Rattus norvegicus: one gene and its partners. The main gene of each other region encodes a partner of the protein of the gene in region 4 in a complex. Links are inferred from orthologs where the notes say so. Each region holds a gene or a part of one and is shown on either strand. Other genes may lie near its edges. The genes, in order: Smarcc2, Smarca4, Smarcc1, Smarcd3, Dpf3, Arid1a and Smarce1.

What was found.
Region 1: Smarcd3 (region 4) and Smarcc2 share a complex: the UniProt entries of both Homo sapiens proteins name them as parts of the BAF complex. The link is inferred for Rattus norvegicus from reciprocal best matches to the Homo sapiens genes SMARCD3 and SMARCC2.
Region 2: Smarcd3 (region 4) and Smarca4 share a complex: the UniProt entries of both Homo sapiens proteins name them as parts of the BAF complex. The link is inferred for Rattus norvegicus from reciprocal best matches to the Homo sapiens genes SMARCD3 and SMARCA4.
Region 3: Smarcd3 (region 4) and Smarcc1 share a complex: the UniProt entries of both Homo sapiens proteins name them as parts of the BAF complex. The link is inferred for Rattus norvegicus from reciprocal best matches to the Homo sapiens genes SMARCD3 and SMARCC1.
Region 5: Smarcd3 (region 4) and Dpf3 share a complex: the UniProt entries of both Homo sapiens proteins name them as parts of the BAF complex. The link is inferred for Rattus norvegicus from reciprocal best matches to the Homo sapiens genes SMARCD3 and DPF3.
Region 6: Smarcd3 (region 4) and Arid1a share a complex: the UniProt entries of both Homo sapiens proteins name them as parts of the neuron-specific chromatin remodeling complex. The link is inferred for Rattus norvegicus from reciprocal best matches to the Homo sapiens genes SMARCD3 and ARID1A.
Region 7: Smarcd3 (region 4) and Smarce1 share a complex: the UniProt entries of both Homo sapiens proteins name them as parts of the BAF complex. The link is inferred for Rattus norvegicus from reciprocal best matches to the Homo sapiens genes SMARCD3 and SMARCE1.

Annotation. Positions count from the first base shown.
Region 1 is NC_086025.1:1,473,003-1,476,502, reverse strand, and holds part of Smarcc2 (SWI/SNF related, matrix associated, actin dependent regulator of chromatin, subfamily c, member 2), read right to left. Parts: intron 1,662-3,500; coding exon 1,586-1,661; intron 1,443-1,585; coding exon 1,311-1,442; intron 1,212-1,310; coding exon 1,096-1,211; intron 822-1,095; coding exon 697-821; intron 1-696. UniProt on the Homo sapiens protein: Involved in transcriptional activation and repression of select genes by chromatin remodeling (alteration of DNA-nucleosome topology).
Region 2 is NC_086026.1:28,460,819-28,464,318, forward strand, and holds part of Smarca4 (transcription activator BRG1), read left to right. Parts: intron 1-1,376; coding exon 1,377-1,509; intron 1,510-2,203; coding exon 2,204-2,608; intron 2,609-2,872; coding exon 2,873-2,971; intron 2,972-3,500. UniProt on the Homo sapiens protein: ATPase involved in transcriptional activation and repression of select genes by chromatin remodeling (alteration of DNA-nucleosome topology).
Region 3 is NC_086026.1:119,048,556-119,052,055, reverse strand, and holds part of Smarcc1 (SWI/SNF complex subunit SMARCC1), read right to left. Parts: intron 2,158-3,500; coding exon 1,899-2,157; intron 628-1,898; coding exon 466-627; intron 1-465. UniProt on the Homo sapiens protein: Involved in transcriptional activation and repression of select genes by chromatin remodeling (alteration of DNA-nucleosome topology).
Region 4 is NC_086022.1:11,469,776-11,473,275, reverse strand, and holds the end of Smarcd3 (SWI/SNF-related matrix-associated actin-dependent regulator of chromatin subfamily D member 3), read right to left. Parts: coding exon 3,409-3,500; intron 3,263-3,408; coding exon 3,161-3,262; intron 3,010-3,160; coding exon 2,848-3,009; intron 2,360-2,847; exon of another isoform or gene 1,930-2,359; coding exon 1,832-1,929; exon of another isoform or gene 1,699-1,831; coding exon 1,563-1,698; exon of another isoform or gene 1,262-1,562; coding exon 1,139-1,261; exon of another isoform or gene 1,018-1,138; coding exon 916-1,017; exon of another isoform or gene 677-915; coding exon 623-676; 3' UTR 495-622; downstream 1-494. Other genes in the region: Chpf2 (chondroitin sulfate glucuronyltransferase precursor), read left to right, coding at 1-244. UniProt on the Homo sapiens protein: Involved in transcriptional activation and repression of select genes by chromatin remodeling (alteration of DNA-nucleosome topology).
Region 5 is NC_086024.1:108,853,826-108,858,117, forward strand, and holds the start of Dpf3 (zinc finger protein DPF3), read right to left. Parts: upstream 2,801-4,292; 5' UTR 2,779-2,800; coding exon 2,747-2,778; intron 1-2,746. UniProt on the Homo sapiens protein: Belongs to the neuron-specific chromatin remodeling complex (nBAF complex).
Region 6 is NC_086023.1:151,262,587-151,266,886, reverse strand, and holds the start of Arid1a (AT-rich interactive domain-containing protein 1A), read left to right. Parts: upstream 1-1,500; 5' UTR 1,501-1,874; coding exon 1,875-2,999; intron 3,000-4,300. UniProt on the Homo sapiens protein: Involved in transcriptional activation and repression of select genes by chromatin remodeling (alteration of DNA-nucleosome topology).
Region 7 is NC_086028.1:84,673,374-84,677,673, reverse strand, and holds the start of Smarce1 (SWI/SNF-related matrix-associated actin-dependent regulator of chromatin subfamily E member 1), read left to right. Parts: upstream 1-1,500; 5' UTR 1,501-1,545; intron 1,546-3,376; 5' UTR 3,377-3,421; coding exon 3,422-3,428; intron 3,429-3,604; coding exon 3,605-3,648; intron 3,649-4,300. UniProt on the Homo sapiens protein: Involved in transcriptional activation and repression of select genes by chromatin remodeling (alteration of DNA-nucleosome topology).

The DNA of each region.
Region 1 (3,500 bases), on a different chromosome or scaffold from region 4:
CATAATTTGTCTTGAAATATATTTTATTGATGAGAAGTATAATCAAACACCTATCAGGGTGGAGATGTAGCTCAGTCAGTAAAGTATTTTTTGCAGAGGACTGAAGTTCTGATCAATCCTCAGAACCCATGTAAGAAGCCAGGCACAGTGGCCCAGACTGGCCCAAACTGGTAATCCCAATGCTGGGGAAGCAGGGAAGAAGAGACCCCTCAGGGCTCCTGGCCAGCCAGACTAGCCTAACCTTCAAGTCCCAGGTCTCAGAACACAAGGCAGAGGGTTGGCACGATGGCACAGTGCATACAAGTACTCGCTGCCAATCCCTGGAACCCACATAGTGGAAGGAGAAACCAACTCCCACAAGTTGTCCATGACCTCCACATGTACACTGTGGCGAGCACACACACACACACACACACACACACATACACACCAATATACAACTAAATGTTAAAAACACAAGGTAGAGGCTGGCCAACACATACAAATACGTACAAAAACAGATTTGGAGGTTGGGGTACAGCATTTGCTAGTACACAGGAGTTCCTAGGTTCAATTCTCAGCACAGAAAGACAAAGTTGGTGGACAACTGTAGGTCCATAGGAGACATGGATATAAAGCAAGAGTCCTTTGGGGGGCTGGGCACAGCAGGAATGGGAGAGGGTAGGGACTGGCCTGGGAGCTCGGCCTGGCTCATACCTGTTTTGGGGAGTGTCACCTCTTCCACATTTGGGACTGGAGAGGGCTCATCCATGTCTTTTGTCAGGTCTTCTTGCTCCTCCTCTCTGTGCCCTCGCTTTGACTTGGTGTAAGGTGTGGAGGGTCTGGGAAGGGAAAGAGTTATCCTTGGAAATTAGAGGCATTTATAAGAAGGAAAAAGAGAAAACAGTATATGCAGAGTAAAGGGGGTAGTGCAGAAGACTTTCTGTTGGGTGACTAAGCTTTCTTTCAGTTTACTGATAACCAGGACTAAAACCATCAAGCAGGTACATGAGGGTCCCCTCACCCTCCTCTCAGACAACCAGCCAGGGGCCAGTGACTTCAAAAACCATTGTCTTTCCTTGGACAGCATGTGTGGGCACAGGAGAGGTAGCATACCCTTTCTTAGCATTTTTCTTCTTAGCTTCTGGGGTTGGCGAAGGAGAGGGAGAGCGTTTCCTCTTCTTATAGTTCCCCCCCTTCTTGTCCCGTCTGTCTGCATCCGGGCTGTTTACCTGCACAACGGGGAGTGGGATGAACGACAGTTGGCCCTTCAGTTCCCAGTGAGGCATGTCTCAGGTGTAAGCTCAGGCTTCTGACAAGAAGGAGCTCACCTCATCTGTCAGCGTCTTGGCTGAGATCTTCTTTCTGCGGGAGACTGGGCTTTTGTCGTCACTAACTTCATAGTCTTCCTCATTCATCCACTCATTGAACGTGTCAGTGTCGAGGATCCACTTTGCATGGACCTGAAGCACAGGACAGACAGCCCACATCAGAGTTACTAGAAGCCACATTTCTGTCTAGAAACTCTTACACAGAGTTCCTGCTCCCCCAACACAGAGGTCTGGTCCTGGGTGTTCTAGCAGTGGAGGGTACCAGGAAAGCTCACCTTCCTAGGTTTCTCAGGAGTGGGAGCGTCCTCCACAGATGCTTCAATTTCACTGGCTGGGATCCACGTGTCATAGCTGCCAGAAGAGATTCAGCAGGAGGTGGGGACGGAGGTGAAATGCAGGAACAAAGCGCAGCCTTGCATGCCTCTCAGTGCAGACATGGGCCCTGGTCTTTCTCCTACTAGCAGCCTCCACCACTGACTCACATACCCAGCCTTGCCTTTCCATTTACAAAAAACATTCAACTGTTCATCTGTCCAATTAAATCAGGATTCTTTTTGCCACAAGGCAATGAGAGCATATCATAAAATATTTCAAGCTGGTAGATGTGGTGACTTATGTCTACAATCTCTACATTCAGGAGGTTGGGAAAATTGATGCAAGTTCAAGGCTAGCCTCAACTATAGAGAGAATTTAAGGCTGGCCTGGTCAGTGTAGTGGGAGCTTGTCTCATAATAAAAGTGTAAAAGAGGGGTAGAGGTGGCTCAGTGGTAGAGTGCTTGGCGAGCTCAGACAGGCTCTTGAACCCATGAAACTATCCAGGCTTGGTGACGTACGACTGTGACCCCAGCACTCTCAAGGCTGAAGCAGGGTCTTGTGTCCGACTGAAGCAGCCTCACAGACAGTGAGACCATCTTAAAAACCAAACTAGCAAACCACTCAACCAACAAATCAAATACAGGAGGACAAAAAGGCTTTCCAAAAAGTATGAAAACAATCTAGCATAGACTATGGGAAGCTGAAGCAGGATCCCTTAAGTCTAAGGTCAGAGTGTGTCACGCGGTGAGACCTGGGCATCGGGGTAAGCTATAACCAACCATGCATTCAAAAGTAATTACAACTACATTACACTTAACACTTATTTCCCTCCCTGAAAGCCATGCTATGTCTCACAAAGAGCTTATAGATCCTAGGTTCCTGTTTCTACCTTCTGGGGAGCTGGGGCTAGAGCTGAAGCTGGACCTGTAGGTGTGAACCTCCTTTTCTCACTTAAATTTGCCTATAAAGTAACTGTATTCTGTCACTTTAAAGGTTGCATAATAACCCAGGCTAATTGTATACATTTGTGGAAACATTTTCCTACTACTATACTGTTTTTTTTTTTTGTTTTGTTTTTTGCTTTTTTTTTTGTTCTTTTTTTCGGAGCTGGGGACCGAACCCAGGGCCTTGCGCTTCCTAGGCAAGCGCTCTACCACTGAGCTAAATCCCCAACCACTACTATACTGTTTTAACTTTTGTTTTAAGATACAACTTCACATAGCTTAGGCTGGCCCTAACACACACACACACACACACACACACACACACACACACACACCCCACACGAAAAAGAAGGCCAGGTGTGGAAGAGCAATCCTCTAATCTCAGCATTCAGGAGGAAGAACCTGGTGCATCTTTGTGAGTTTAAAGTCAGTTTGGTCTATAGACCAAGTCAGGCTAGCCACAGATCTACATGAGACCCTGTCTTAAGTATGTATGTATGTATGTGTGTATACATGCATGCATGTATGCATGCATTGCATGCATAATAAAGAGGAACATGAAACTGAACTGGAGAATGACCAGTCCGTGGGCATAAGGACCTGTATTCTGCTCCCAGAACCTACATAAAGTTGCTGGGCATGGGCTGAGATGTCTCAGCAGTTACGAGCGACTGCTGCTCTGGCAGAGCCTGGGGTCAGTTCCCAGCACCTACGTCATGACTCACAATTACCTGTAACGCTTGTTCAAGAGGATCTGTAGGCACCCTCTTCTGACCTCTGCAGACACCAGGCCCTTATGCGGTACTACATATACATACATGTGGGCACTCACACATAAACTAACAAAAAAAGCAACCAAGAAACAAACTAACAACGCTGGGCTCTGCTTGCAGCTCCAGGGCTTCAGGCGCCCCAATTCTCTATGGCCATC
Region 2 (3,500 bases), on a different chromosome or scaffold from region 4:
TGGCCTACATACATGGAGAGTATTCAGTCTGCCAAGCAGCTCTCCTGTCCTGAGGCCTTGGTCTTCCTCTTAGGACTGGCTGGGAGTAATGTCAGCATTTGTCTGGGCCCACAGAGGCTGGGGTGTAAGAAGATGTAGTTGAAGACAGCAGGAGGGTTTACCATAGTGGCGCTGTCAGTTGCTCCTCTTCCCTGCAGGGTTGCTCCTGTGTTTGCTTCCTACCCCTGTAGGCTTCCTAGTTTAGGTTGTGTTCCCTATCCACAAATGAGGAAGGCGCTCCTTCACACGCCTCTCTCATTCCTCTGCCTGGGTTGTCCTTGTACTCTGCTTCTGAGACACCTCCATCTCTGGCTTCCCAGTTCCCGAACTATTCTGTCATCTTAGAGCACTTATCTTGCTCCTTTCTCCCTATAAAGGAAGCTCTGGGTCACATGTATGAGCCCACTGTCTGGTTTACAGGGTCCTCCATGTGCCACAAACTACATCTCTTTTCCCTGTGCTCCTTATCCTAGCATTGCTCACACATGCTACTGCCCATTGGACACCTACCATGTATCTAGAAATCTATGTCCTGGAGTCCTGGTGGGTAACACCTCACCGAACCTCTTCTACGCTGTAGGCAACCCTGTTGCTCAGCATAAACAATCTTGGGGAGCCTGCACAGAGTAGTGGCCCCACAGGAAGCTGCCCTCATGCCCCGTCTCAGCTTCCTTTGTTACAGCTATACTAAGTGTGGCTTTGGTATCACTCTCCTTCATCACATGCTGGCCTGTGAGTTTTTGCTGAGCACAGTGCTCGATAACCAGTCCTAGCTGACAGAAGGGTCTTAGGTATTAATCTCTCCCAGTGGCCGCGCTAGCCGTTTCCCTGGGAGGCATGCCTACTCCCACAGGTGCCATATGGCAGCATCCTGCTAACATTGTGCTGTCTCAGTGGTGGGACAGTTCTGCATCCTTCCTTCCTAAGCTGGCAGCTGCTGAGGCCTTGAGGACAGTGGGGAGTCTCACTGTAGTCCAGTCTAAATATGCAGCAGACCTTTTTGTAGTTTGCTTGATTTATAGTCTCCAAGGGTGAGGGCTTCAGCCCTAGGTTTGCAGCAAGTCTCCTTGGCACAAAGTGCAAGAGACCAGGACATCTTTCTTTGTGGTTCTCACTGGCTTGAAAGACAGCTCCATGCCTCCACTGCCTAAGTAGTTACCTTTTCCAGTAGCTTGGTTTTGTGTCTGTCCTGACACCCAGAAGGTGAGTGTGCCTCAGAGCTAGCCCTCTGGCCCCCTTGGGTGGACCTCTGTGGTCTTCTTTCTCAGCTTTGCCTCTTGAGCTTTGCGCAGCTGCCTCTTGTCCTTGGCTGACCTGTCTCCTTGTACATCTTACAGCCTATGGAGTCCATGCACGAGAAGGGCATGCCTGATGACCCACGATACAACCAAATGAAAGGGATGGGCATGCGATCAGGGGCCCACACAGGTATGGGACCTCCGCCTAGTCCCATGGACCAGCATTCTCAAGGTACAGTTTGGGCTGGTTTTTGTTTCATGTTCATGTGCCTGGAGCTCAGAATCTGCTTTCTTTAGTGGAGATTTCAAGGACAGCTAGTACAACTGAGCTATGGGTTGGCCTCCCTGGTGACGTGTGGCTAGTTCTCTATATAGCCCTCTTGCCTTGGAGCAGTCTCGAATACTGAACAGGTGGGACAGAAATGATTGGTTAGCATGTTGTTTGAGGTCAGGGATTAGCATGATGGAGCTGGGGCTAGCAACTCCAGTGGTGCCTTAGGCCACTGCTTTAGGCAAGATGGCTTTTCTACATGGGGATGATTGATACTGTAGATGACTTGTTGAGTCCCCCCGTCACTAGGGGCAGTAAGTAAGGTACTGGGTCCTAGGATTCATAGGAATGACAATGGAGAAGTTGACCTGGACAGAGGGCAGGCTTGATGGGGCCTGGTTTGCAGTTTTTACCTTTTGAATTGATTAACTGTACCCCACTGAAGCATGTATCCAAGCTCATTAGCTTGTGTCATGACCACATTAGCTGCTGGGCTGAGGCTCTCAGTCAGCCACCTACCTCTGGGTGCTTCTTGTTTGACTCAGGAGAATGATGTTGCCTAGTTACCTCTCCAGGGATGCCAGGTAATGTGATGTGATTTAGCTGTTATAGATGCATGCTGCTGAGTGACCACTGAACTAGTCTTTCCCTGCAGGTTACCCCTCACCCTTAGGTGGCTCTGAACATGCCTCCAGTCCTGTCCCGGCCAGCGGCCCATCTTCAGGCCCTCAGATGTCCTCTGGGCCAGGAGGGGCCCCACTAGATGGTTCTGACCCCCAGGCCTTGGGGCAGCAAAACAGAGGCCCAACCCCATTTAACCAGAACCAGCTGCATCAACTCAGAGCTCAGATAATGGCCTATAAGATGTTGGCCAGGGGCCAGCCATTGCCCGACCACCTGCAGATGGCCGTTCAAGGCAAGCGGCCGATGCCTGGAATGCAGCAGCAGATGCCAACACTACCTCCACCTTCAGTGTCTGCCACAGGACCTGGACCCGGCCCTGGCCCTGGCCCTGGCCCAGGTCCAGGACCAGCCCCTCCGAATTACAGTAGACCCCATGGTAAGACCTATATCCCTGCCGCTGGAGTGGGGAGAATGCTTAATGTGTATGATAATAGCAGGCAACCCTGGCTCCCAGCTAGTGGTACCTAGGACTGCTGTGATGGGTGGGGGGTGGGCGGTTATGTCTACCTAAATGCCATTTATTCATCACTCTGGCCAATAATTATTGTGGTGGGTGGGTATGTTCCCTGAGCTGATATGAGAGTAGGCCAGCAGCTTTGAACATAGTTGTATTTATGGTGCTTTCTTTCCTTTAATATAGGTATGGGAGGGCCCAACATGCCTCCTCCAGGACCCTCAGGTGTGCCCCCCGGGATGCCTGGTCAGCCTCCTGGAGGGCCTCCCAAGCCATGGCCTGAAGGTAAGTTTCTTTTCTATTGGTGACATGCTCTACTTCTTGTCATGAACCTGAACTATGCAGGACTCCAGAAGTTAGGCTACAGTTTTTTGTTTTGTTTTGTTTTTTTGTTTGTTTGTTCGTTCGTTTTGGGTTTTTTGTTTTGTTATTTTAAGATTTATTTATTTATCATATATTCGTCACTTCAGACACACCAGAAGAGGGCATCGGATCTCATTAAAGATGGTTGTTGTAAGTCCCCATGTGGTTGCTAGAATTTGAACTCAGGACCTCTGGAAGAGCAGTCCATGCTCTTAACCACTGAGCCATCTCTCCAGCCCTAGGCTACAGTTTTTCACCCTAGAAACCTCAGATTTTTCGGTGGAATTCTCTGGGGTTCAGCTGGGGTCCACAGGGTACTTCTTATCTTCCTTGTCCTATGGGTAGGAATCCTGCAGTCTCCTGCAGGGGATGTGTCTACTATGGGACTCAAGGTGATGGCTGGTTATAGCTGTGACTACAGGCAAGCTTACTCAGGATAAGGGGCTCCTGA
Region 3 (3,500 bases), on a different chromosome or scaffold from region 4:
CACACACACACACACACACACACTCACACACCCATACATACTATACCTATGGCACACACACACTCACACACCCATTCATACTATACCTATGGCACGCACACACTCACACACACATACTCTCTCTCTCTCACACACACACACCCATACATACTACACCTATGGCACACACACTCACACACATACACCCATACATACTACACCTATGGCACACACACTCACACTCACACCCATACATACTGAGGAACTGATACTGTTTGGTTATCAGGCACTGTTTTTAGCTCTTGCTTTCTCTGTACCACGTCCCCCTTGTCCACCTCACAAGAATGTGAGAAAAATATATATAATAAAATGTAGAGGCACATTATATTGTTTTGATTGCTTGTGTGTAAGCAAAGCCCGTGATTTTGCACACTGACAGGAATATAAGCATCTCTAAAGCGAATGCTGTACTCATTAGTGACGCACCAAGCTTCTCCGGCTCATCGGGCCCGGTGCCTGCAATGCAGCTGCTCTCCAGGCCGTAGGTAGGATCCACCTTCCCAGAGGCTCTTGCAGCTTCCTGTACTTTCTTGACATGCGCTTCCACCAATTCCAGGGGTACTTCTTCTCGGACACGAGAAAACTCCTCTGAGTCAAGATCACAAAGACAATATCTTAATTTTGCATAGATATTTGATCCTAGTGTGACAAAGTAACATCAGTTTATACAGTGAGCACACTAGGGAAAATATAAAATGAATCAATCCAATCACTTCCCTAGGTTATTATCCAAAACATAATAGTGCCTTCTTTATTATACTTTGAAAAGTTGTTTAAAAATCTATTAGAAACAAGTAAAATTTCAGTCCTGATTTCACCACTCTGCTGGCAAGACTGGTAACTATAAAAACAGCAAGGATCAAACAACCTTAAAAATGTAAATCCTACAATATAAAAGATGCCTGGGTGAAATTAAGTTATTGAAAATAAATTAAGTAGCTTCCATGCTATATCTCTACCAATATCCTAATGTCATAAAACACTTACTTTCCTTTATACACGAGTGTGTATGTACATGTATGTTGGTTGAGACAAGATCCACAATAGTCCACGCTGAACTTTAAACTCCTGATTCTTTTGTCTCTTCCTCTAAAAAGCTGCAATTTCACAGGTTATGCCAAATTATCTAGCTGTTCTTCTAAATCCACAAATATTCTATGGGCCAGCAACATGGCTCAGCCAGAATGGACATTTGTGGCCAGGCTGACAATTCAATTCATGAGGCACACGTAGTAGGACAAAGCTCACCCTTGCACTGCTAATCCTGACCTTCAGAGATATATCATGGTAAGTGATCTTCCCTCTCTCTCTTTCCCTCTCTCCCTCCCTCCATCCCTCTCCCCCTCCCCTCCCTCTCTCACACACACAAAATAGATTTTTAAAAGTGAAAGAAAAACAAAGTCCTTACAAATTATTTTCTACATTTTGATGAAGCACATTATCTTTAGTTTTTGTTGTGTGACTTATAAGAGAGAAATGTGTATTAACACAGCTGATATTCTTAAAAGCATTTGTATGTATGTGTGGGGGTGAGCTTGTGCCTGGGTTTAAGTCTGCTGGTTTAATCCAGTTGACATCAACAAAGATTCTATCAGTTCTCCCTCCACCTTATCTCTGAGTTACTATCCCTGTCAGGATGACTTGTGAGACCATCTATTCTGTCTCCCAGTATAGATGCTATAAGCATATACTAGAGCTTCTAGCTTTTACACAGGCTTTGGAGATCTGACTCAGGCCCTCATGCTTGCACAGCATACACTTTATATAACTGAGGCAAATGTTAAGTTCATGGCTAATCATATTTGAATATAAAGTCAGACTTTAGTGCTGGAGAGGTAGCTTTCACAGGAAGTACATACCCAAAGCTGCTTTGGCTGCAGCTGATGCTACTCGAGGGTCAACCACGGATGCTAAAAAGGCAACAGTACTCATCACGGGGTTTCCTGACTGGCTGAAAGGGACAGGCTGGTAAGCTAGTGGCCCAAGAGAAGCATCTGAATTTTCAAGGTATGGGTCCTCAATGGGAAGCCTCAAAAAGTGGAGGATGCATTCATCCTGAGTACGGCTTCCAACATGTTCCGAGACTTTATTCCAATCATCCTTGTACATCTCCAGAGCCTAAGTGAACACAGAAACAAAAGGGTGATAGCATCAAATAACAAGGAAGGAAAATAGAAGGGAAGAAAAATGAAGCCAGTGCCCTTTTTCCCCCTTCTGTGTGACAGGATCTCACTATGTGATACAGGCTGGTCTTCAACTTCTACTAACCCTGGTTCACAGGCTCAAGAGTGCTAGGCATGCAAACCCAACCTTGCTAAGATTCTGCAGACAGAATTCTAAAAAAATTTGGGTAGTGATCTAGTAGTTATGGTGGCGCATGCCCTTCAACCCCAACTGTCTGTAAACTGAGACAAGATTTGAAGATAACAGAGTGGACAAGATCCTATTTCAAACTAGTAATATAAATAATTATTTCTACATTAAGGTAAAAGGTAATCTGGCAGTGACCCTTATAATAAGTTGTCAATCAGGCAACAAAACAATAATGAAATACCTGAACATTACAATATTCGTTTAAACTGGATCACTACTCTTTACATGAAAACTTTCAAAGAATCTACTCTGAGATGGTGGCTGAAGATTACCACGACAATATCAGATGGGCTAAAAGCGTAAGAGAAAGCAAGAACAATGCTTATATTCCTCTCATAGCAATGAATAACTTTTTTAAAAAAGATTTATTTTATTTTTGAGTTCACTGTAGGTGTCAGACACACAAGAGGAGGACATCAGATCTCATTACAGATGGTTGTGAGCCACCATGTGGTTGCTGGGAATTGAACTCAGGACCTCTGGAAGAGCAGTCAGTGTTCTTAACCACTGAGCCATCTCTCCAGCCCGCAATGAACAATTTTAAAGTGGAAAAATATTTGTAACATTATTAAAATGAAATAAAAATTTGAGTAAATTATGTGTAAGACCAACATGATACAAAGAAAATCAACGTGAGAGAATGAAAAGATGGGCAGAAAGACAGACAGAAAGAAAGGGAGGAAAGAAAGAGACACAAACAATAAAAAGGGGCAAGTGAGAAGGCTGAGAGACGAAGTCACTGTTTAGTAACCCACAAGATGTTAGAAGAGAACAGACTCCAATGTTGCCCTGCCTTCCACATACACATCATCATCTACCCATACAAACACACTAAGGTCTACAAGACAATGGATTTTTAATAAAAATTGAGGCTAGCAGTAAAAGATTGACAGGACAGAATAGAATGAGTCATAAAATTTATTAGAGTTTTGGTAAAAAGTCGTAAAAACCTTCAAAACAAAAACGAAAACCTGAATCTATATGATTAAATACATAAAATAAATAGTAAGAAAATATAACAAATGAAATAACTTGTCAACCTTTTAGGGCTTGCTACTGTTACTTCTCTCTGGTGGCATGATTTCCTG
Region 4 (3,500 bases):
CCAGGAAGAGGAGGAAGCCCTGGAGGGGCTGGAGGTGATGGATGTTTTCCTCCGGTTCTCAGGGCTCCACCTCTTTCGAGCCGTAGAGCCAGGGCTGGTACAGAAGTTCTCCCTGAGGGACTGCAGCCCCCGGCTCAGTGAGGAACTGTACCACCGTTGTCGCCTCAGCAACTTGGAGGGGCTGGGTGCCCGTACCCAGCTAGCTATGGCTCTGTTTGAGCAGGAGCAGGCCAACAGCACTTAGCTTCTCCACCCCTGGGTCTGCCATAGCCCCAGGAAGGGCAAGGCAAGGCAATGGACAGATGGAGGGCTTGCCGCTGTATTTTTTTAAAAATAAGAAATGTTATTAAAAGTATCTTCTGCCAAACTGTTTTTAGGTCTAGGGAGAGGGCTAAGAAGAATCTGTAGGAGGGTCATGGAGAGTTTGTCTGCCAGGTTCCACTGCCTTCCCCTCTCTTCTTCCCTCCCATCCCAATCCACAATGACCACAAGGCTGCTGTCTGATGAGTGACCTTTAATCCAGCCCTCCCCAACCCCAGCACAGCACGGGAGAGGGAGTCCAGAGCCCAGGGTCCATGCTGGGCAGCGAGGCTGGTCCACAGTGATGCGTGTTCACAGGCTCCTAGGTGTTGCGCACAACTAGTGACTGCTCCAGCTCCTGCCTGCGCTGCTGGATCTTTAGAGGAAGCGTGAGCAGGGGCAGGGTTACAATGACCCTGGTGAGTGACCAGGGGCACCCCCTCCTGGCACCCCTTCCCTGGAAGAGTCTGGGAGCCAGGAGACTACTGCATGGGGGTGTAGGGTGGTGGACAGGCGTTGGGCATAGGCAGCAGCAAAGACTGTTGCCAGGTGAGAGGCAAGGCCTCTCTTAGGACTGAAGGAGAAGGAAGCCTCATGTTCCAGGGCCTCCATTACCTTACAGTAGAAGTAGCGGCTGACAGCTTCCTGGGACCAGGGCTGGTGGTAGAACTCAGCCCGGCGCTCTTCCTCGGGGTTACCGGCCACATCTGTCATCACCTGGGAGGGAGCACGGGGCCTGCGGTGAGTTCCAAGTGCCTCACCTGCCCGAGTTGCATGCTCCTCTTCCCCTCCCTGTGTGCTTGTCTTCACATCAGTGACCCCTGAGCCCCGTCTTCACCTTGAGATCACGGCTCTGGGAGCGGAGCAGGTCTTGGACGTAGCCTTTGGGGTCTCTGGAGAAACTTAGCATGAAGTCCCTCTGGATCTTGAGCTGATTTATGGACTCAATGGTCTCATGGATCTACAGGTAGAAAGACAATGATCTCCCCTGGCCCTCCCCTGATGTGGGGGAGGAATGCAAGAGGAAGGAGGAGGCAGGGGGGACTAGCTTCTCTTGTGAAGGGCAGTTTCCCAGAGCCCTTGCTCTCTCTGAGTTCAGTGAGGGGAGCGGGGTGGGCAGAGCTGAACTTGGAGTGAAGTCAGCTTCTCGATAGCAGGGAGGGGCTGTGTGTGCCTCGTGTCCCAGGGCCATGCTGTGGTCTGAGTGCTTTGTCCTCTCTCTCGGTTTAACATCCCACTCTATCTCTGGGTTCAGGCCGCACCTTACTGTCCAGAGCACTGATCTCCTGCTGGTTGGCGGTGGACAGGAGAAAGCTGCTCATCTGCCCCTTCAGTGGTTCCTCCACCTCCACATCAATGTCATAGCACGCGGTCTTCTTCTGGTCTGATGGGTCCACGCTGCCAGAGAAGCCCAGCCTTTGATGTCCATGGTATACCCCCACGGAAGCCCAGGGCTGGGGAGGGGACACAGGGAGGGGAGCAGGGAGGGGAGCAGAGAGCTCCCTCTGTGGGGAAGGCTGGGCCACCTCACCTGATGACATGGTTGATCACAATGGGGTCAGGAGGAAGCAGCAGGCCTGTGAGACGCTGGGGAATCTCAGAAAACTTCAGGCGGGGACAGTCAAAAATCTGAAGCAGGAGAGTTGAGAGGGAGATCATTCGTGTGTGTGTGTGTGTGTGTGTGTGTGTGTGTGTGTGTGTGTGTGTAAAGACAGTAGCTAATAATAGTCCTTCCATTCTGGAAAGACCACAAGAAGCTGAGGGCAAGTCAGAATTCTGGGCGCTGATGGCTGTGGGCTGGGCTGGAGGTAGAGAAGCAGGATAATTAGGGGGCCAGTGTGGGGTCCTAAGTCAGCCTGCTTGAGCGTTTGTCCCTTCTGCCACATCCTGTGAGAAGTTACCTAGCACCTTGGGTCTTAGTGCCTTCACTTCCAGAATAGGGATATTACCAACCCCATCTCATGGGTGGTTATGAGAACCGGGTGAATCTGCAGAGCAGGAAGTGTCTGAAGTGGTACATGGTAAATGCTCAATAAACACCAGCTACTCTTTCTCCTCAGACTCCTCTACTGTGCTTATTTTAAAACATATTAATAGCAATGCTCTACTCTGCTAGACCTGTCGGGTCAGCTTTCAGCAATGTCGTTTTTCCTAGCTGCCAAACACATGTGATGGCACACCTCCCACCACCCCTCATTTCAGAAGCAGACCAAGAGGCAGAAGGGATAGCAAAGTAAGTGACCCCAAGTCTAGACCCAAGACTGGCGGCACCTCAGAGATCCCAGCTCCAAGTACCAAGAAGGTTACATTGCAGGATGCTGTGCCCTCCCCTCCCCTAGTAGGGCCCCACATTTGCTTCCCTTGGGGTGCAGCTGAATAGATCATCCAGGAAGAGCCTGGACAAGACCCTGTTCTTGGCTCCAAGGCCATGGCCCTAACCATTCCTGTTATTCAGGAACTCAGCAAAAGGAGATAGCTACCTTAGGGAGGTGCTTCTGCTAGGATACCATCCCTGATCCCCAGATCCTGAGGCTAAGGACATGTTACCTGCTGGAAATACTTGTCTCCATTGATGTATTCCTTGTCATGGGAGTCCTGTAGCCTGTTGGTCTTCACGTACTGCCACAGTGCCTGGACAATGGCTGAGCGGCTCTGCGTATGCAACCCCAGCAGCCGGGCCAAGCGGGGGTCCAGTTTGAACTGGGGAGGCTGGGAAAAGGTTACCAGGAAAATGAGATTGAGGGGAGAAATAGAGAATGGGGCGTGGAGGTTAGGGTCCTTGGCAGCATGCCCCTAGAGAAAGTGAGTAGGAAGGAGAGTAGGGTCTGTGTGTGGCATGCAGGCACGGAGTAAAACCAACCTGATAGTCCAGCATCAGGAGCAGGGTACAGCGCACACTCAAGTCCCCTGGTCTCTTCACTTGGAACCCATCTGTCTCCTGGGTTGTGGGTGTCCGGTGCCACTGTCCAGGGGGAAGAGCTAGGTCACCCACAGACTCATCTGGGTTGGTAGAGCCTAGGGCTTTAGGATGGTCCTCAATCCAAATCTGCAGCTGCTCCAGGGCTGATGGGAAGGTTGTGATTCACGGGCAGCGGCAATCTGTCTTACCTCAACAAGGTGGTTGTCTGGGCCATAAAGGTCTTTGTCCAACTCAATGACCAAACTCTTGAAGAAGGAAGAAAACTTCCTCTTCTGCTTAC
Region 5 (4,292 bases), on a different chromosome or scaffold from region 4:
GCATGAAAGAAACCTGAGCTGGCTTCTTCCCAACACCGTTACTACTGCTACTTATCCCCAGGCTCAAGAGGAAATCTTTCTGTGACCAGTTTCTGTAGGGGGCGTCCGTGATGTTGCCTTTTTAAGACGAGAGAGAGCGCTTGCACACGGAGAAAATGCTAATGTGGCTTGGAGCTCCCTCATTGTCAGGAGGGGCACACAAGGATAAACACGTAAGCTCTCCAAACCATTCCCCTCACTCTTCCTCCTCCTCCCTGCGCCCCCATCCATCCCTTCGGCTGGATGCGTTGCTCTGCTTTGTTCTAATTTAGCCCATGCATAATTTATTCACGTGTGTTTTGTTTCCTGGTCAGCAACTTCTAAAAACAAATGAAATGTATAGGATGTTTTATTAAACAAGTTGTTTTTAAAATAATAATAATAATGATAAAAGCAGATGGCCTCGGTCTCCCAGTAACGATGTGTGTGTGCTCCTGCGTGCGGAGTTTTGAAAATGTCCAGGGTGCAAAAAGCTTGGCTGATTGGGGTTATTGTTTACACCCTTAGTCCTCAGGGGAAGAGGATGGGATACAAAAGGGGATGGCTAATTATAAGTGACCACTGGACTTCCTCTGAGGAAAGGGCAGGCAGGGGTGTTGTGGGTGAGCGCCCCTGTGCGTGAGCCAAGACGGAGTTACAAATGCATCCCACGGCAAGTGTTTCCAATTATTAAGGGATACAAGGATAATTCAGAACTAATTCTATCAACCGAGATTGACCACCTTCTAGCTTCTCTGTTCCTTCTCCCCACAATTTCCAATACACGCACGCTTCTGTGTCAAAAAAAAAAAGTGAAAAGATCTGGGGAACCCTGGAGCGTGGAGCTCCTGCGCGCGCCCGAGCGTAAGCCCGCTCCCGGGCACCAAGGATGCCGCTTTCCCAATGAGGAACCCCGTACACATAGCAAATAGATCTCTCAGACCTGAGTTTACCAAGCAGCATCAGCTCTGCTACGTGATTTCGACTGGAAATGAGGAAATTGCAAATCAGCTGTGTGGGTTTTGGAGAAACTCACGGCACCAGCGGTGTGGTGGCGGGAGTCGGCGAGGACGCGGCGAAGTTACGCCCATTTATTCTGCCATAAAACATTTTTTTCCCCTCTCAGGTTAAACGCTGTCGCGAGTGCAAAGTAGCTGAGCTTCCGAGCGGGAACCGGAGCCAGGAACTCGCATCAAGCTCAGCCCCTGTCTTTACCGCAGTATCTCGTGGAAACTCCGAGATCTGGGACATCCCTGCCCTATTCCTGGTTGTTGGCTGGTGCAAACGCAGCGGGTTCTCCCTACGCGTTTCTTGGCACTAGGAATCACACACACACACACACACACACACACACACACACACACACACACACACACTCGCCGCCGCCCTGCTGCTCCCCAAAGCGAACGGTGTTTTCGACTCCCGGAGCCAGGGCTTAGGACGCTGTAGCGCGCAGTTAAAAGCCAAGATCGACCACTGACACAGACCGGGAAGAATTGGTACTAAACACCCACGCGCACCCTCCGATTCCCAGAGGCTTTCATCAGGGCGTGAAGTCCTAGTACACTCGGCACCCACCCGGTGCCCACGCCGCGCCGCGATTCCCAAGGATCCACCCTCTGCCAACATCCCTGCCAATAGCGCCCCTTGAGAGCCACACTAGTTTTCCCAGGCCACCCCCAGCTCCACGATCACCCGCAGACTTGGCGGCTTCATATTCAGTCCACCGACTGGAAGGAAGGAAGGAAGGAAGGAAGGAAGGAAGGAAGGAAGGAAGGAAGGAAGGAAGGAAGGAAGACGGGCAGGCAGGCAGCTCCGATCGGAACCGGCCCCCGCGAGTCCTTGCGCAGCCCGCCCCCCTCTGTCCGCTCAAAGTCTCCGGGAGGCACCTGCCCCTCGCTGTCGCCAGAGCCCTACACCGCCGCCTCCGCCGCCTCAGCTTTTCACCCAGAGCAGGCGAGCACACCATTAATAAGACCTGCAGTTTCCCCGTCTCCATATCAACCTCAAGTTAACCCAGATCGTTAATTTACTAGAGCCAGTTAGCCTACAAATACACAGACACACCGGCGACCGCCCGGAGCGCCCGCCTGATCCCCGGCTGCCGGAGTGGAAAAGCCCGGGGCAAGCACCTGGGCCCCAGGACTCCCGGGACCCGCCGCTCCGCGCGCCGTCCTCCCAACTCCGGAAGGTTTACACAAACTCCCTGGGAGAGCTCGGAAGGCAGAGCGAACGCCCTGCAAAACTCCGCAGCCGCTGCGGTCGGTCTGCCCGCCCCGGTGGACAAGCAGCGGGGCCGGGGAAGCTCCGGCTTGGAGCGCAGGGCATAGCAGAGCGCAGGACGCGGCCCCTGCCCCGCGCTCCGGCCGGACTCAGCCAGCCCCGCGCGGCGCCGGGAGAGGCAGGGGACTCCGGGGACCGTGAAGACCCGAGCTGCACACGACCCCCGCAGCTCCGGAGCCGGCGCCGGCGCTCTGTGCTCCCTCCCGGTCCGGGTCAGCCAATTAAGCAGAACACAAATTTAACAATTTTCTTTTTGTTAATTGCATCTCCTGACATTTCTGCGCGCTGGGAGGAAAAAAGATGAAGAAGTAAGAGCAGGAAGAAAAGAGGAGCCCGGGCGCAGCGGGAGGCGTCTGCGAGAGCCGAGCGCCGGCTGCGCTCCGCAAGGCGCCTTTTTTTCATATTGAAACCACGCGGAATATGTACATTTTTTAGTCTTACTTACGCTTTCAGGGGGTTGTGAATGACAGTCGCCATTTTGCTACAATGTAACAGAATATTGTCTGTCTCAGAGTTCTAAAGGTTCGCTCAGGGGAAGCGGCAGGCCAATCAGAGCACGGGATACCGGTCTGCCGGCCAATCGGCGCGGCTGGTCGCCAAGTGGGCGGAGCCTGCGTGGTGGTAGTTATTAGGGGAGCTGTCAAAGCCCAGAGGTCACTCCCTTTTGTAGAGCCCGAGAGCGAGCAGGTCTTAAAGGGGCAGTACCGTGTTAGTAGCGCCCTTTCAAATAGGGACTAGTGGAGATACATGGGAGAGCAATCTCGCTTAGTTTGAGTCCCTACTTTACTAAATAACCGCAGAGTTTGCGCTCCTGGACAAGAATATTTACATAATGCCAACAAAAATGCTGAATCCCATTCATTAGCTTTGGGCTTTGTATATCACGGTTTTAACCCCCGAGTCTCGGGTACACCACTGTGTTACAAGTGCAAAAAGTTGGAAGGCTGCAGTTTCCTCCAAGAAATTACTACTGTGCTCCACTCTTTGCTAAAAATGCTCTGGGTTCTGCCGCTGTTCAATTTTCTTGTTCCCGAAGTGTTTTCTTTATCTCACCCACCTTCCTCGGTCGGTTTCTGAGAACGGGAGAGTCCAGGGCAGCAACTCCCTTCCCCCTGGAATGTCTCAGCCATGGTTTTTTGTTACGTAATTCACAGGTGGTCACTCTGCACGGTCCCCTACGACCACCGTTCTCCACTGTCGACGATTTCGAAGATCTGACACGACCAGCTTGGGAACGAAGTGAGACCTGGCACCTTTTAGGCAGAAGGCTGGGGAAGATTTGAGGCAACTTTAGGAAACGCAGCTAGGGAAGCCAGTAACTAGGCAGAAATTGTTAGAGCCTGACAATTGTAGGTGTTGCTAGAGTCCCCTCCGGGAATGGCTCTGCGAATCCAGGCGTCACCTTTCTGGACTAAGATAGGAGGTGAAAAGAATCTGCAAGTGAATGTTCAGACGTGACTGGAGGCTTCCCCAGTCTTCGGCTGCTTAGAGTCTGGTGAACCCCTGAAGAAACTAAGACTTCTGCGAACTCAGGCTTCCACGGAGCACAGGGAGACTCAGACTGGGCGAAAACGCACGAAATCACATAGAGTCCAGAGACTCTATCGTTAGCATATAGAAGTCTGGCTATCCCCTGGCTGTTTAATCAGGTCAAATAGCAGAGAGCTGGAGAGTGAAAAGGAAACCGAGAGATGCTGAATTGCAGTTCACAATTCCACCTGCTCTCGCCTTTTACGACTCTCCATGAATAAAGTAAAATACAATCACAAAGCAGTTCGGAACTTTCAGATTCCAACTCCATTCACTATTAGAGTTACAGATAAGCCCAGCAAAGCTGAGTGAGTCCGTGTGTGCAGACTGGAAATATTTAACTCTTTGTTTGCCTAGTAGGGTGATGTTCTCCCCCACCCTCTCTTCTCATTACAGAGTCTCACGATTAGGAAGCTGTTTTTGATGCACTGTAAAGAGAACCAGGTGTGATAGTGCTCCCT
Region 6 (4,300 bases), on a different chromosome or scaffold from region 4:
AGATAAACCTGGCCTTAGGGTCTCTGGTAAACTTCAAGGAGTCTTACACCTTAGGAGAGACAGCAGATCTGAGGGGCATCCGTTTTGTGTGACCTATTAGGCTCTGCTTTTTCTCTCTTTAAAGAGGAAATGGTTTCCATTTTCTGCATCCCTCTTTTGCAGTGGTTTTTGAACACTGAGGTTCTTCCAGTCCCTGGAGCCTTTTCTGTGGGCTTGTTTACATCTTCAAGGTACTTTTGGAGATTGGGGCTACTGGCCATTGTGAGCTAGGTTCCCTTAGGAAGTGCTAATGGAGCTTGGTTTGCCTGGAGGACTGTCTTAAGCCCCCAAAGCATCAGTAGCCACCATTTTAAGAGAAGTGGTGGGATGACCACGTTCGATTTCAAACCTCCTGACACTGATCCTGTTGTTGGATTTGTTCACAACGTAAGTGCCTCTCTTTTCTCCTTTCCTCCTTTTCTCAGGCTAAGTAGACAAGATGCAGCTTTGGCGACTCCACTTTTTATAGCTACACTCTTCTGCCCTCTGACTTTAAGTGACCTGGGCAGTCCTCTCTCTCTTCTGTCTGTTGGTAAAATGGGGGATAATCCAGACCTCATGCCCCCAAGGCCTTGTCAGGGAGGGCTAATGAGGGCAGGGCATGGAGAACCGATAGTTTGAACAATGGTCAGTCCTCCTTTGGGGCTAGCCAAAGGGGGCAAAAAGCAGGGCTCACTCAGCTGGGTCTCAAGAGCAGGTCTGCAAAAGGCTTTGAAGAAGAAAAGTGCTGCGGAGGTGCTAAGTCGCAGCCAAGAGACCAGGCCCTGTGCCAGGGGGTCAGGTCCCGGCCGCTGCGGCCGCGGTTTCGGGCTCAGGCCAATTTTGCAGGCGCGGGTAAAGTTCACGCGGCCCGCTCCCTTCAGATCGGCCAGGAGGGGACAGGCCAGGATGGGAACGCCGCGAGAGAGGCGGCGCAGGCTCCGGAGGCGCGGGCTCCGGGCCGGGTTTTCCCCGAAGCCTTCGGCGGCGGCGCTGCCGAGCGAAAGAGGCTGAGGGCTTGCCGCCGCCGCGGCTCGTTCTCTCCCCTCCTCCTTTGTGAGGGGAAGGGAGCGAGTCCATTCCACGGCCTGCGCCCGCTCCGCGCTCCACTCCGGGTTTTTCAGGCGGCCGCGACGGCGCTGGGTAAAATGGCAGTGCTGAGCCTCGTGTCGGAGTGAGGGGGACTCGGAGGAGAGTGGGGCGCTCTAGCTGCTCAGTCCCGCCGCCCGCCCGCCCGCCCGCCCGCCCGCTCGTTCGCTCGCCTGCCGCCGCCGCGCAGCAGCCTCGGCCCGAGCCGCGGCCGGGGAGGCGAGGCAGGGCGCCCGCCGGAGCAGCGCTCCTACTCTGCCTCCCGGCGCCCCGTCCGCCGCCGCGCGCCCTCCAGCCCGCCCGTCCCGGGTCCCCCCTCCCCCCCGCTCCCTCCCTCCTTTCCCGCCCCCTCCCCCTCGCCTCCCTCCCTCCCTCCCTCCTCCTTTCTCCGGCAGCAGAAAGCGGAGAGTCACAGCGGGGCCAGGCCCTGGGGAGCGGAGCCTCCACCGCCCCCCTCATTCCCAGGCAAGGGCTTGGGGGGAATGAGCCGGGAGAGCCGGGTCCCGAGCCGACAGAGCCGGGAGCAGCTGAGCCGCCGGCGCCTCGGCTGCCGCCGCCGCCTCCTCCTCCTCCTCCGCCGCCAGCCCGGAGCCTGAGCCGGCGGGGCGGGGGGGAGAGGAGCGAGCGCAGCGCAGCAGCGGAGCCCCGCGAGGCCCGCCCGGGCGGGTGGGGAGGGCAGCCCGGGGGACTCGGCCCCGGGGCGGGGTGGGAGGGGGGAGAAGACGAAGACAGGGCCGGGTCTCTCCGCGGACGAGACAGCGGGGATCATGGCCGCGCAGGTCGCCCCCGCCGCCGCCAGCAGCCTGGGCAACCCGCCGCCGCCGCCCTCGGAGCTGAAGAAAGCCGAGCAGCAACAGCGGGAGGAGGCGGGGGGCGAGGCGGCGGCGGCAGCGGCCGAGCGCGGGGAAATGAAGGCAGCCGCCGGGCAGGAAAGCGAGGGCCCCGCTGTGGGGCCGCCGCAGCCGCTGGGAAAGGAGCTGCAGGACGGGGCCGAGAGCAATGGGGGTGGCGGCGGCGGCGGAGCCGGCAGCGGCGGCGGGCCCGGCGCGGAGCCGGACCTGAAGAACTCGAACGGGAACGCGGGCCCTAGGCCCGCCCTGAACAATAACCTCACGGAGCCGCCCGGCGGCGGCGGCGGCAGCAGCGACGGGGTGGGGGCGCCTCCTCACTCAGCCGCGGCCGCCCTGCCGCCCCCAGCCTACGGCTTCGGGCAACCCTACGGCCGGAGCCCGTCTGCCGTCGCCGCCGCGGCGGCCGCCGTCTTCCACCAACAACATGGCGGACAACAAAGCCCTGGCCTGGCAGCGCTGCAGAGCGGCGGTGGCGGGGGCCTGGAGCCCTACGCCGGGCCCCAGCAGAACTCGCACGACCACGGCTTCCCCAACCACCAGTACAACTCCTACTACCCCAACCGCAGCGCCTACCCCCCGCCTCCCCAGGCCTACGCGCTGAGCTCCCCGAGAGGTGGCACTCCGGGCTCCGGCGCGGCGGCCGCGGGCTCCAAGCCGCCTCCCTCCTCCAGCGCCTCTGCCTCCTCGTCGTCTTCGTCCTTCGCTCCGCAGCGCTTCGGGGCCATGGGGGGAGGCGGCCCCTCAGCGGCCGGCGGGGGAACTCCCCAGCCCACCGCCACCCCCACCCTCAACCAACTGCTCACGTCGCCCAGCTCGGCCCGGGGCTACCAGGGCTACCCCGGGGGCGACTACGGCGGCGGGCCCCAGGACGGGGGCGCGGGCAAGGGCCCGGCGGACATGGCCTCGCAGTGCTGGGGGGCTGCTGCTGCGGCGGCGGCGGCAGCGGCCGCCTCGGGAGGGGCCCAACAAAGGAGCCACCACGCGCCCATGAGCCCCGGGAGCAGCGGCGGCGGGGGGCAGCCGCTCGCCCGGACCCCTCAGGTACACAGCTGAGTGGGGAGGGGGCTGGGGCGAGCGGGGCAGGGGGGTGGGTGGCGGCTGTGGGGAGCAGGCCCCGGCCGTGGGCTCCCCTCAGGCTTGGGCCCCCACTGCCGGGGAGCTGCCATTGTCTGGCTCTTCTCTCTTAAAATGGCTGCCTGTCTGCCTTCCTCTCCTTCCCTCGATCAGCCTTTGTGTGGGGCTTTTCCAGAGGTGTCTGTCCGGTTTCTCCTCCTCCGCTGGTCCTTTCGAACTCTGGGGGTCTCCAGGGGGGTGCAGAGCAAAGTGTGCCTGGAAGGGCCAGGCCCGAGTGAGGGGGTGCTGGGGGTTCAGGTTAGGGGTGTAGGCAGTGTCAGGAACCCGGGAGAAAGAAGCAACATTTTCTTGCTCACCTGCCGTTCCTCTGTCCCCCTTGCCTTCCTCTAGGCAGTTCCCCAATATATGCTTTTAAAGAGTGGCCCCTAGGGCTCGGGGGACCTCGGGGGAGAGCTGGGGCCTGCTTGGGGGCAGCTTGAGGCCGACTGTGGTTCGCTCTGGGCCGCCCGGGCCACCTCTTTCCTTAGTCTCCGCCGGCCCAGTGGCCTGGGCTTCTCTCTGGAAGTGCTGGTAAACAGCTGAGTGATTGGAGTAGTAAGTGCAGATTGCTTTGGTTTGGGATTTGAATTATGGAGGTAAAATCCTTCTGTCAAAGCCAGGAGACAGTTGGTCTTAGGTTGACATCCTATCTGTGATCTGATTGGCTCCCCATCTTCTGCTCTTGGCCATTTATAATTGCCTCTGATGTAATGGTACAACAATCCTGATGAGCTCATAAACTTTTACACTCTGCTTTTCTGCCAGTGATAACCCAAACCATCGATGCCACCACTATCCGCCTTTTATTCCAGAGCTGAAATTGGCTGTGACCTTGAGGAGGGAGGTTTAAGCAGCAATACTGTATCAGCAGGAGCAGAGTCCCAGACAGGCTGCCCTTGTTACATTGTGCCTGAAACAAAAGAGGAGGCGATGGCATTTTGCTTGCACCTTGGATTTATTTTGCTTGTTATGTTTTATGCAGTCTGAAATAGATTCTGTGTTGCTGGAACAGTAGCTGAGTTTTTCCTCTACAATGGGTTTGCTGTTTGTTTTCGTTTTGTGACTTTCCTGATGGTATAAATGAGTTCTTTGATAGCTCTGAAGATACATTTGTCTCGAGTAGTTTTTGACACTGTGTTCAGCTACAGAACTGAAATTATTTTACTGGCTTTTTTTTTTTTAAATTAAAAGGCAAATGTGAGATCTGTAGGGGGAGAAGATGGTTTTGT
Region 7 (4,300 bases), on a different chromosome or scaffold from region 4:
CTTTCCTACCATTCCTTAATCCCACAGTTGCTAAAGCAGGGACGTAACAAGGCTGGAGTTACTGGGCAGACAGAGGAAGAAGACACTGGATCCCTGACGTAACTGTGTGGATCCTACATTCATCTTCTCTATGCTTTTTGTGTTTTAAAAAAAAAAAAAAAAACATTTTCAGATACATTTCCTTATGCTATTCACTCATCTGGAAAACTCTCCTTTAGCCTTTCCTTTCAATACACTTTTATTTCATTAATTTCATCTCACCAGAATGAAAATATTGGACAATGGAAGAACTGAACAATATTATCATTTATTCCTGGCTCTGCAGACTTCTAAAGATACCTCACGAGGATAAGGGCCAAGAGGTAGTCCCAGAATTCAACCAGTTTCTCTAGATGCTAACACTGTCCTTAGATAACCACAGACGGTCTGCTCATTTTTTCCTCCACCATGACGTGACCCACACTAGCCAACTTCTTATGGTCCGCCAAATACTTGTAATTTGTAAAAAAAAAAAAAAAAAAAAAAAAAAAAAAAGCCCTGGAATAGTCCAGAAAGGTGGCTACACACACACTTACTGAGCACCTAATTACAAGTCTAGCCCTTCGAAATCATTGGTAATTATGAAATTGTCCAGTCCAGATGCCTGAAATTTGGTTTTCAAGACTCTCCAAGATTGCAGATGGCCCAATCCCATCAAGAGGGTTTCAACAGGCCCTGGAAAAGTTCTAGGAGGGCATCACAAAGAAACATTGAGCTGACTATTTAAAGACAAGCGAGGGTGAGCTGAATTAGCCCTCCTGGTAAGAGATGTGAATTGTCACAGGTATGCAAGCTGGAAAGAGTGAGCTGACATATGAGGACCCTAGGCTCTGAAACCTGTCGCCATCATTCAACCTCTAGAAGCATCTGGAAAAACTACAAAACTCCCGTGTTGCTTTTCGCTTAGGTGGAGGCAGGGAGCCCTGCCGAGCGCCAGCAAGGACCAAAACGCGGGGATCCGGGTCCTCCCCGCCTACATTCTCCATCCTCCATCCACACGTCCATCAGCGGAGTACAGAGGATCAGAGCGAAGGGGAACGCCAGGGTTTGGGGTGTGCGGGAGCTGCGACCCGCCCTCTCCCGGGAGAGGCTCCAGCGAGCCTTCCCCCAGCGCTTGCCTCACGCAGCGGAACCCACCGCCTCAGTGAAGCCGGGGTACGCAGTCTGCGCAGTTCCTGCCGCCGGGCCGCGAACCAGGGCCCGCAACGCGGCCCAACCTTCTCCGCCCTCCTCGCCGTGACGAATCGGCGCCCGGCTGGGACAGGATCCAAATTGAAAGACTTCTGAGGGATCCGAGGAGCCTGAAAAAAAAAATCTTTGGCGCACTAAACCTTGCCGCGTCTTCACTGGAAGGGCTGTTCGTCGGAGGAGGGCCGGCCGCAGCCCGCAGAAAATTCCCCGGAGCGTGTGGAAAGTGCGAGCGCGGAAGCTCCGGCGCGAGGGGCGGGGCGAGCGCGGGACAAAGGGAAGCGAAGCCGGAGCTGCGGGCGCCTTCTCGGCCCGCGGGTGAGTGTTTCCCAGTGGGCCCGACCCGGTCGGGGAGGGTGGTGAGCTGTGGTGTTTCGGCTTGGCGGGACCCCGAGTTCCCGCGGGGTGCTGGGGTTCGGCCTCGGCTGCGAGGCGGGAGCTAGAGCCGGTGCGGCCTCTGAGAGGCCTAGCGGCGGTGGGGGAGCCCCATCCGGGACAGCTTCTCGGAGGCGCCACTAGTCCCTTTATGCTGGACTCCGGACGCTGGCCGAGCACCCATGCACAACCCTCTGCGGGGGAGTTTCCAGAAAAGCTCACCCTCCGCCCGCCACAAACTCAAAGGAAAGGATCTCGGGAAGCCCAATGGGCAAGGCTAGCGGGGGTCCTCACCCAGGAAGGTGGTTCCCATTTTGGTGGGTGGGGGGTGGGGCTCAAGTAGCGGCCTAAAGACACCCGGGGTGGCTTGGATGAAGTCTGAGACGGTGTGGGTTGGGTTTAAACCCACCTCTGGCATTTCTGGGCCTATGGCCTTAGACACTTAATCGCCCCGGGACTGTTTTTTTCCTTTGTAAAATGGGGACAGGCCATACGTATCTGGTAGGGTCGTTGTGACTAGTGAACAAGACTGTTAAAAGCCTGACCCGTAAGGTAATTAATTCAACAAATACTGAGTTGCATGCCAGGCACTATGGTTAGATCCACTCTCTACTAGAGTTTGTAGCCCAGGAGAGCAATCATTTGTAAGTATTAGCAGTGAAGTGTAAGGTGCCAGGGACCCTGTCACAGTTTCTGTCGGGGCTCCCCACAGCAAGGCCTACTGGGTGTTGATGGAAGTAAAAGAGATGGGTTGAAAAAAAATTAGCAATTAACACATCAAAAACTCTTAACCCTGATGGTTTGAGGCACTTCCTTTAAATGAAAACTAGAAGAAAGAAAAAAATGTATTCACCATCTTTCTAAAAATAAATTTTCATCTCTTTATGCATTACCATTTGTGGTCTGTGTTGAGAAAGGAGCAAGCTCAGATAATGTCCGTGTTTTGAGCTGGTAATACTAGGACCCAATTTATGAAGAATCGAGCTACGTTTGAGTAATAGGTTAGACCATCCCTCCTCTCTTGCAAGACAGAACCCAGCCACATTCACATGTTGTGTGAGGGAAAATGCCACTGATCTTTAGTAAGCCCTGTAGGAACGCAGAGACAAGGCAATTAGTTCTGTCCAGATAATTCACCAGAGAGGACCTGAGGTAATTTCTGAAATGGACAGTAAAGGAACAACAGGTGTCCTGTCAGTAACCTGAGAAAATTGTTCCAGCTCTTAGGGAACTATTTACCAACAAAAGAGAATGTAAAGTTTGTTAGCATGAGTTATCTTTCTTTCACACTGCCTCCAGGAATAAGACGTTGCTCTGTTTCGATAAAAGAGGCCCCCTCGATAGGGCAGAGCTTCTGATCAGGGGTTATTGGTCAGTATCTGGTAGGCCTTGTTGGGGTCACCCTGATAATACATCACATTCTATTGTCATTATTTTTTTTTTATCAGTCTTAAGTAATCGTTCGCATGGCATCAGCAAAATGTTTTCCATACAAGACGTGGCTCTCAATGTCATAAGCAAAAACCTAAAAAAAATCCATCTCTGATAGAACTCTAAATTTCCCAGTAATTCATTTTCATCACTTAATTCTGATCAATCAAATGAATATAAGGACTAGTTAAAATATGCAAAAAGGCTTGATTACTAGCAATTAACAGTGAAGTAATTTTGCTCAGAAATACCAAACTACCCTATTCTTTAGGAAAACATTCTCTTATGCTTGCTGAGTTTTGATTCTCTTTTTTTTTCTTTTTTTTCTTTTTTTTTATTTTAGTGTCTCAGATTCATTCTTAAGGAACTGAGAACTTAATCTTCCAAAATGTCAAGTAAGTTTCAATTTTTATATTTATCAATCTGTATTAATACGAGACTAATGCCCTAGCAAATGGGAATTCCAAAATACTCTCATTTTTTTTTCTTCAAAGCAGGACCATTGGTAGTTTTGTTGCATAGTATTATATCTCAGTTGTTTACAAGAAGTTATTTATTTTCTTTCAAACAGAAAGACCATCTTATGCCCCACCTCCCACCCCAGCTCCTGCAACAGTAAGTTTTAATTTTCTTGTTAATGTAATAGCCAAGTCTGGCCTTGATACAAAAACCCAGATGTCTTCCACTGACAGTCACTCAGTCTTCACAGCCACAGCATAGAAAATTCAGCTAAAAATCAGCACTTCCTACTAAATAAAATAACTCCTTTCATCCTTACCTTGAACCAAACCCAACATTTAAAATTACATGCTATGAACTCCCCACCTCCTGTGCTCTCTTTTCTCCTAGCAGGAAATCAGTGAGACACTCCTTTCTAGCCTTTCCCCTGGTAAAGGGCCTCGCAGCTGACAGTGAGTCAGTGCTCATCCTGCTGTTGGTTATTCCTTTATTTGTTGTTTTTAAACCTAACCTTCAACCGGTTACATTTTTCTCTCACTGTAAGTAAGGGCTGGGGTAGCTCAGTGACAGCACTCACCTAGCATTCGCAAGGCCCTAGGTTGGAACCCCAGCAGCACAAATTTTTTAATTAAACTTTCTTATCTGTGTATAAAATTTTCACATTAAATAAAGTGTCTTGTTCTAAGGATAACTACACTCATAAATCTTATTTTCAAGCTGCTCAAGTAAGGGTTTCATTACCCATGGGTCAGATCTCGTTTCTAAATTTTGTTCAGGTTGGTTTGCCAACTGCTCTGCTTAAAGGTGT